Canis lupus familiaris: one gene and its partner. The protein of the gene in region 1 interacts with the protein of each later gene in a pairwise test. Links are inferred from orthologs where the notes say so. Each region holds a gene or a part of one and is shown on either strand. Other genes may lie near its edges.

The links.
Region 2: the proteins of MIA2 (region 1) and TTC23L interact in binary tests that used the Homo sapiens proteins (3 or more experiments, as listed by UniProt). The two-hybrid records come from large-scale screens. The link is inferred for Canis lupus familiaris from reciprocal best matches to the Homo sapiens genes MIA2 and TTC23L.

Annotation. Positions count from the first base shown.
Region 1 is NC_049229.1:17,565,215-17,569,028, reverse strand, and holds part of MIA2 (melanoma inhibitory activity protein 2), read right to left. Parts: intron 3,029-3,814; exon of another isoform or gene 2,918-3,028; intron 2,218-2,917; exon of another isoform or gene 2,152-2,217; intron 1,503-2,151; coding exon 314-1,502; intron 1-313. UniProt on the Homo sapiens protein: Plays a role in the transport of cargos that are too large to fit into COPII-coated vesicles and require specific mechanisms to be incorporated into membrane-bound carriers and exported from the endoplasmic reticulum.
Region 2 is NC_049225.1:74,362,782-74,367,146, forward strand, and holds the start of TTC23L (tetratricopeptide repeat protein 23-like), read right to left. Parts: upstream 3,046-4,365; 5' UTR 2,913-3,045; coding exon 2,895-2,912; intron 2,499-2,894; coding exon 2,380-2,498; intron 1,215-2,379; exon of another isoform or gene 1,086-1,214; intron 1,059-1,085; exon of another isoform or gene 856-1,058; coding exon of another isoform or gene 839-855; exon of another isoform or gene 814-838; intron 1-813.

The DNA of each region.
Region 1 (3,814 bases):
TTTTGGAAAAAAATAAGAATTTATTGTAAAATACCTTAAGATCTTCTTGGAACATATATGTATCTCCAATCATTCTTTCTCCCTTGGTATTTCATTATATTAAGATCTAAGTCCCACAGTAAACCAGAAAATATTAAAAGGATAATTGATAATGTTGTTGATTATTGAATATTTTGAGAAACATGGATTTCTGGACTTTTTCATCCAATTTGTACTTATAAGAATTAATTATATTTTAAAAACAAATTATATTATAAATATTTTATACCAACCTGACTGTATCTGCCTTTCAACATTATAAGTTTCATATTACCTGTGTGATAATTTTCAGCTGAAAATTCTTCTGTTTCATCATTTTCAATTACATTTTCTTCATCCTGTATCTGTTTAGAAAATGGCAATTCTGTCTCCTTTGAAATGTCCTGGAAGTTCCAGGGGTTGTCAAAATTATATAGGAACTTTTTAAAATATGGTAAGGTATCAAAATCATCCGTGTTCTCTAAGACTCTTTCTGTGTCTACTTGATCTTCAGTTTCCATACTTTTTATTGTTTTTATTTCTTGTTCCATATCAGGGTCAAATTTACTTGTTGGAGGATGTTCGTGTTTATCTCCTCCACCTCCTTCTTCACTTTTTCCATCATCTGATACAATTTTATGTTCATTGGTGTATACAAAGCCTAGCATACCAAAACCAAAATCAAACCAACTTGGCCTGAGAATTGAGGTATCATTGGCAATTATGTCTTCTTTTTCTGTTGATATTTCTGTGCATGGAACCGTGGGTTCTTCCTCAGATGATATAGAATCAAGAACATCTTGTAGTGGTGGATTGCTTTCTTTAGGCAATAATTCAAGCCCTCTATTCTCATCTCCAAAACCTAAATAACTTTTAAAACTACCCCCAAACCAGCCAGTGGCTTGAGGACTGATAATGTTCTCTGATTCAGAATCTACTTCAGATTGTTTCTTTGGCAATGAATAGAATTCCAGTTCAGGTTCTTGCTTTTGTTCTGTTTGGTGTTTATCATTATTTAATTCCTCCAGGTCATTCCCATCTTCTCCTGCCATTTTTCTACTTTGAAATGAACTTTCTTCTAGAGGTTCAATAACTGATTCAAAAGTCTTTCCTTCAGCTTGTTCCCTTCCGAATCCAAACCATCCTTTCACTTCAGACACAGTTGAGGATGGCAGGATATGATCCACTTCTGGAACAGAATCCTCTTCCATACTTCCAGCTTCTACTCCTTCCCACTCTTTTGATTCAGTAGTACTTCTGATATCTTCAGGAGCCTCTGATGCTGGAAATTGATCTTCAAACCAAGTACTTTCAGAAGGTGAATAAAATCCAGATTCTGTCTGAAAATCACTGTCATATACACTAGATTTTTGGTCCTTATCTTCTTCATATGGATGTATATTTTTGCCATCATCATTGCTTAATTCACTGTCTTCATTTTCAAATGAATAACTTACTCCAAGAAGACAAAGAAAATCAGATTCCTATAAGAAAAAAATTGATTCTAAATATACTAAATATACTAAAATTCCTTGTTTCTCCCTAAATCATTTAAAACAGATGACTGATTTTCCCAAGACCATACAACTAGCTTAACAGCACAACAAAAACTAAAACCAGATCTCCTAATCTCCAATATTTATATCACAACTAACTCAGGGTCAATGATATTAATCTAAGTGAAAATTCAAGCTTTGAGTATATCCTGAAAATAAACTCTTGATGAAAAGGCATACATGGGGATCCCTGGGTGGCGCAGTGGTTTAGCGCCTGCCTTTGGCCCGGGGTGCGATCCTGGAGACCCGGGATCGAATCCCATATCGGGCTCCTGGTGCATGGAGCCTGCTTCTCCCTCTGCCTGTGTCTCTGCCTCTCTCTCTCTCTCTCTGTGTGACTATCATAAATAAATTAAAAAAAAAAATTAAAAAAAAAAAAAAAAAAAGAAAAGGCATACATGTCCACAAAATCTTGCTTTTTTTAAGAGTGCATTGAACAGACACATGCAGCTGTTTGGTGAATTGAGAGAGGGGCATTTCACAGCACATGGAGACAGCTCAGACAGCCCAGAGACTCTAAATCATGAAGGCCTTGTTAAAATTTGCACTACAACATTTAAACTTCTTTTATTGTATAGAGTCAACTGTGGTGGGGAATCCTCTTGTTCATCTCAGAACAACCAGATCTTCAAGAAGAAAAATGGTGAAGTTAATATTTTTTTTAAATTTCATTTTAAGTAGGCTTCATACCCAATGTGGGGCTTGAACTTATGTCCTGGAGATCAAGAGTTGCATGTTCTACCAACTGAGCCCGGCAGGTGCCCCAAGGTTGTTATTTTTTAATCTGAAGGTATGAAACAGTGATCTGTGCTGTTTTTTGGATATGATCATTATGAAATGAGAATAAAGTTCAGAATTTTTAAAAAGTAAACTTCAAAATTGAAATTTTACAATGTTTTGGGGACTGCAGTATAGTAGGTAATTGAGAACAGACTCTGGAGCCAATTGTCTAAGTTTAAGTCCTGACCCTGCCACTTACTAGCTCTATGAACTTGGTTGAATTATATGTCCTTTCTATGCCTCAGTCTCATCTGTAAAATAAGGATAATGACAGTACCCACCTTATAGGGGTGTTGTGTTGTGAAGATTAAATGAATGATGTGCTTAGAATAGTAACTCTGTTACTATTAGTAACTAATAGTAACTCTCTGTTACCACTAGCCTAACCTACCCCAAGTTACACTACCCCAGGTAAGCCACTAATGCCTTGCCTCTATTCAAGGCAACTCTGAAAGGCCATCCCAGATTCAGAGTTCCTTATGGAATCAACTGAGACTTTTGTTGCAACTGCATCACAGTTCAACTTCTCTGCCCAATTTTGCTTCTTCTTTTGCTCCCTCACAGGTGTTATTCCTATGAGTACTCCCCAGTAAACCTCTTGGGTGCAAAGGTCCACCTCAGAGTCTGTTTCCCAGGGAACTTGACCTAAAAATGTAGGGCTTACATTTTACATGGTAAGTATGTGCTTACTATGTGCTGTGCACTGTGCTAGGTGCTGAAATTCTATAGTAAACAAAAAGAAAAAGGTAATGATGAATTGTGATAAGTGCAATGGAGGAAATAAACAGGAATCTGTTAATCTGTTAATTACTGCATCTTAATCAAAAGATGCAGTAATTCCACAAGAATCATCATGGAAGGCCTCTGTGTGGCACCAATGTTTATGGGCGATGTAAAAGATAAGAGCGATGTAAAGGATAAGAAGGGACTAGCTAAGTGAAGAACGTGGAGAAAGCATTTGAACCACAGGGCAAAGCCTGTTTGGGTTTCTGGGCTGGGAAAATGTTTTGCATGTTCTAAGAACAGTCAGTAGGCGAGTGTTGGCCAGGAGCATAGTGAGTGAGGGGAGAGCAGTATAAGAGAGGGTCATTGAGATGGAGGTTGGGGACAGGAGCGCAGATCGTGTAGAGCCAGGGTAAGGAATCAGGGCTTGATTCTAGGTTCATTGGAAATCCATTAACAGGCTTTAAGCCAAAGGAATGACAACTGAATTGTTTGTTTGTTTTAGTTTTGTTCCTATGAGATCCATTGCTGTTTGGAGAATAAATTGGAAGAGGACAAAACTAGGGGCCAGGAGACCAGTATTGCAGTATTCTAATCAAAAGATTATGAGGTTGGGCTATGGGGAGAGTGAAGACAATATATTCCAGTTATATTTTGGAGATAAACTTACAGGATCAATAATTATACATTAAATTAACTGTTAATCTCAGAATTTATGCTGGAAAAGAGCCAGATAA
Region 2 (4,365 bases), on another chromosome or scaffold:
GGCTTTGGGGGTAAAAAAAAAAAAAAAAAAAAAAAAAAAAAGACTCAGAAGTCTACTCTATTTTCCCTGTTGGATGCTATACTGAAACTGCCCAGATACATAACGCATCTGAAATCCACAAATCCAATATACACACTAATGTATAGAGATACCTGTAAAGCAGAAATTAATGGCATTTGCCAAATTAAACCTCTGAATTAAATCTTTCCCCTAATTCCCACTCCATAGTACCTCCAAAATCCCTGATTTTTTTTTTTTTTTACCTCCCTAAAGCCAGTATATTTACAGCTCCTGAATCATCAAAACTAGGTTCTCCTACTCAAGTCAGATACTGTTTTTGCCAGATGGAGCCAAGCAAAGCAACCAGTTTTAAGCATTAAATGAGTATGGCCAATGCACTGGTTAACTCTCCTTGCCCCTAGGGCTAGCCCGCTAATTTAATAGGGAGGCCCAGTCAAGGACCCACACGCGTCCGTTTGGGTATTGTCCTTAGTTGATGGGGGAAACGGCTGAAACCTCATGACAAAAATCTGATTTATAATTATCTGTGAAATTCAATTCTCATGGCTCTCCCTGTTGCCTAGATCAAATGGGAATCGAGGGCAGCCCCGGTGGCTCAGCGGTTAGCGCCGCCTGCAGCCCAGGGCGTGACCCTGGAGACCCGGGATCGGGATCGAGTCCCACGTCGGGCTCCCTGCAGGGGCCTGCTTCTCCCTCCGCCTGTGTCTCTGCTTCTGTGTCTCTCAATAAATAAATAAAATCTTAAAAAAAAAAAAAGAAAAGAAAATCGGAATCGAAAGCCGCTCATCTCACCCTGCAGAATGTCACTCATTCCCACCTGAGGAGCCTGAACATCCACAGTCCAAACACCAGAAAGAGCTTAATTTCGCTTTCTAATCTCTGCTTCCAAAACCATAGCCCCGAGGGCGGGGGGGAGGAGCTCTGAGTTCTCAGACTCCGAAACTGCGCTCCAGGAGGCTCCACCAGGCCCCACCCGAGCCTCGGAGGCCGCTTCCCCGCGGGTGCTGCAGCCACGGCGGCCCCCACCTGGAGGCGGCGGCGGGGGCGGGGGCGGGGCCGCGCACCTGGGGGGCGGGGAAGCCACGCCCCGGAACGAGCCTGGCCGCTCCCTCAGCCCGCGCGCTCCGCTCCCTCCGACCGCGTCGGCGTCGGCGCACCCGCCTCAGGGCGCCTCACGGATGCCCGGCGGAAGCGAGGCCCTCGGCTCGGTCGGCGCGGCGCGCGCGAAGCCCGGGTTCCGGCGCGGGGACGCCGGGGTTGCCACGGGAACGGAACGCCGCCGACCGCGCCGCGAGCGGCGTCGGCGTCGGTCGCCATGGCGACGCGGGGCACTTCCGGCGCCGGAAAGCCCGCGGCCGCAGCGCGGGAGCTCCTCCCGGACCCTGGGCTTTCCCGTCTCCACCGGTGCTGCGGGCGCTTCGTCACCTGTTTCTTTTTTGTTTGTTTAAAGATTTTATTTATTTATTCATGAGAGATACAGAAAGAGCAGAGGCACAGGCAGAGGGAGAAGCAGGCTCCCTACAAGGAGCCTGACATGGGACTCGATCCGGAGTCTCCAGGGTCACATCCTGGGCCGAAGGCGACGCTAAACCGCTGAGCCAGCCGGGCTGCCCTTCGTCCCCCGTAGTTTCCCTGAAAGGGACTCGAGCTCCCGGGTTGACGGGAAGCCCCGTCGCGGGCTGGGAGGGAGCAGCCGCCGTTCCCGGCTGTCGGGGCGCTCTCCCGGCCCCCGAGGAAGGGCTCAGGTGTGACCGTGACGCCCGTCCCGGTAAGGTTTGAGCTGCGCTTGATCACGAAAGCCGAGCGCAGGGAGGGAGTAGCTTAAGGAATGGGCCGGTAGTGCTGCTCCCGACGCTGTCTTCGAGAGGTGGGGCGCGTTTGGCAAACCCCGCGTCGCCCCCACTTACGCAGCAGGTGTTCTGATGCCACGACTCTTCAGGGGCCCGGAACACACGGGGGTAAGGGTAATGCAGACCCGACAGGTGCAGGGGCAGCTGGGGCCAGCTAGGGGTAAGGGTGTCAACACGAGCCCGACAGTGAGCCAGGGGCCTAGGACAAGTCAAGCTGATGCTATGTCCTTGTTTTCTTTTCTTTTTTTTTTAAGATTTTATTTATTCATGATAGACACAGAGAGAGAGAGGCAGAGACACAGGCAGAGGGAGAAGCAGGCTCCATGCACCGGGAGCCCGACGTGGGATTCGATCCCGGGTCTCCAGGGTCAGGCCCTGGGATGAAGGCAGGCGCTAAACCGCTGGGCCACCCAGGGATCCCCGCTGTCCTTGTTTTCAACACACAGACGCACACGCACCACCACCACCACCAAAACAGACTTGGTAGAGAGAGAAGGAAAATATTTACCAAGAACTTGAAAGGTGGTATTTGCATTTGGTGTTTGTTCTTTCCAGTTCCAGGTTGAAGTTTAATTGCTGTTGACCCAAGACTGCCAAGATAGCCTTTCTGCAGTTAGGCTGGAGGAGCTATATAAATGAATTTGCTTAAATATCTCTGAGGTAAAACCTGGACACCCTTTTAGGGTTTAAATCCATACCTGTAAAGTCGTGAGCCAAAATTTTAGAAAGATCCCACCCCCTTTATACTCTTTCCTAGCAGAACAATGAACTCCGCTTCAAGGTTTCAGGGCTCTAGTTTGGACTCTTGTGTGGCCTGGGGCAAATCACAGCCCCTGAGTCTGAGTTTTCTTACCCTTACAATGAGCATATTTGTGACCACTGGCTTTCTAACCCACCCACCCCCAGTCCCCAGGATTCTTTGATGGCAAGCTGCAGAGTTTTGTGACTCTTTGAACAATATTTAACACAAAGGGGGGATAAGAAAGAACTAGTTTTCTGTTCTCTAACACTGATTTCCCTTACCCTTAAGTTGGTCTTCATCAAGTTGAAAAGTTTTATAACGTTTTTGTTCTAGGAGTTGACTCTTAAGTAGATGAAATGTAACTTCTCTTTCTTGAACTCGGTTTCCTGCCCATCATTGTGAAGTGAGGTACCAGAACAGGCCCTGAATTCCCATTCTAAAAATGATAGTCTGGTTCTACTTCTATTTAATTAGCTTTGACCAAAAGCCATGCACCTGTAAAATCAGAAGTCAAATTAAAAACAAAAAATGGGGCAGCCCAGGTGGCTCAGCAGTTTAGCAGCCGGGGTGGCTCAGCAGTTTAGCGCCGCCTTCAGCCCAGGGCGTGATCCTGGAGACTCGGGATCGAGTCCCACGTCGGGCTCCCTGCATGGAGCCTGCTTCTCCTTCGGCCTGTGTCTCTGCCCCTCTCTCTCTCTCTCTCTCTCTCTCTCTCATAAAATCTTAAAAAAAAATTTTTTTTAAATGTTAAACTCTCAGAGTTCCAAAACTGTGTGCTGTTTTTTTCTTTCTTTGCCATCTTCACCCTGTCCCCAAATATAAACCTTAGTTACATCTTGACACTCACAATCACATTGGTACTCTGTGAGTTTCTCTCACTCCCCATGGTTTTGTCCATCCAACCAGAAGAAAAAACATATTGAGAAATACCTGCTATGTGCCCAATACTGTTTTAAGCATTAAGGAAGCAGTAGTGAAAAAATAGACAACGATTTTGCTCTTCTGGAGCTTCTATTCTACTAGAATAAGAAAAACAGGGCTATTAGTAAATAGTCTGATGTCTCTGCAAGTTAGAAAAAGTCACAGGGCCAGGGAAATAGGCAACAACTTTGTGTGAATTAGAAAAGGAAAAAAAAAAAGAAGCTTCTTCCTCCAGCCAGACTCAGGCCCCTCCTAAGCAGTAAAGCTTTGGGAACAGAGGTTGGACTGGATTTTAGGACTCTTTTCCTCCCTCAGCTGGGTGAACCACCTTACATGGAAGTGACAAATTATATGGGAGAAATGTACAGCCAGATAAAGGATCTAGAAAGTGATGTGGACATGTAGGGTATGTAAGTTTATATAGTGTGGTTGAGGAGGGCCTCTCTGACAAGGTCATTGAGCAGAAGAAATAAAGGAGCCATCAAACAAACGTCAAGTTGAAGAGCATTCTAAGATAACAGCAAGTACAAAGGCCCTGAGACAGGAGCAAGTTTGGTGGATTCAAGGAAGAGCAAAAGGGCAAGAATGAGAAAGAGGGGGCACCTGGGTGGCTCAGTGGTTAAGCATCTGGCTTCTGCTCAGGGCATGATCTTGGGGGCCTGAGATCGAGTTCCACATCAGGGGAGCCTGTTTCTCCCTCTGCTTATGGCTCTGCCTCTCTTTCTGGGTCACTCATGAATAAATCTTCAAAAAAAAATGAGAAGGAGGGGTGTCTGGGTGGCTCAGTGGGTTAAGCGTCTGCCTTGGCTCAGGTCATGATTCCAGGGTCCT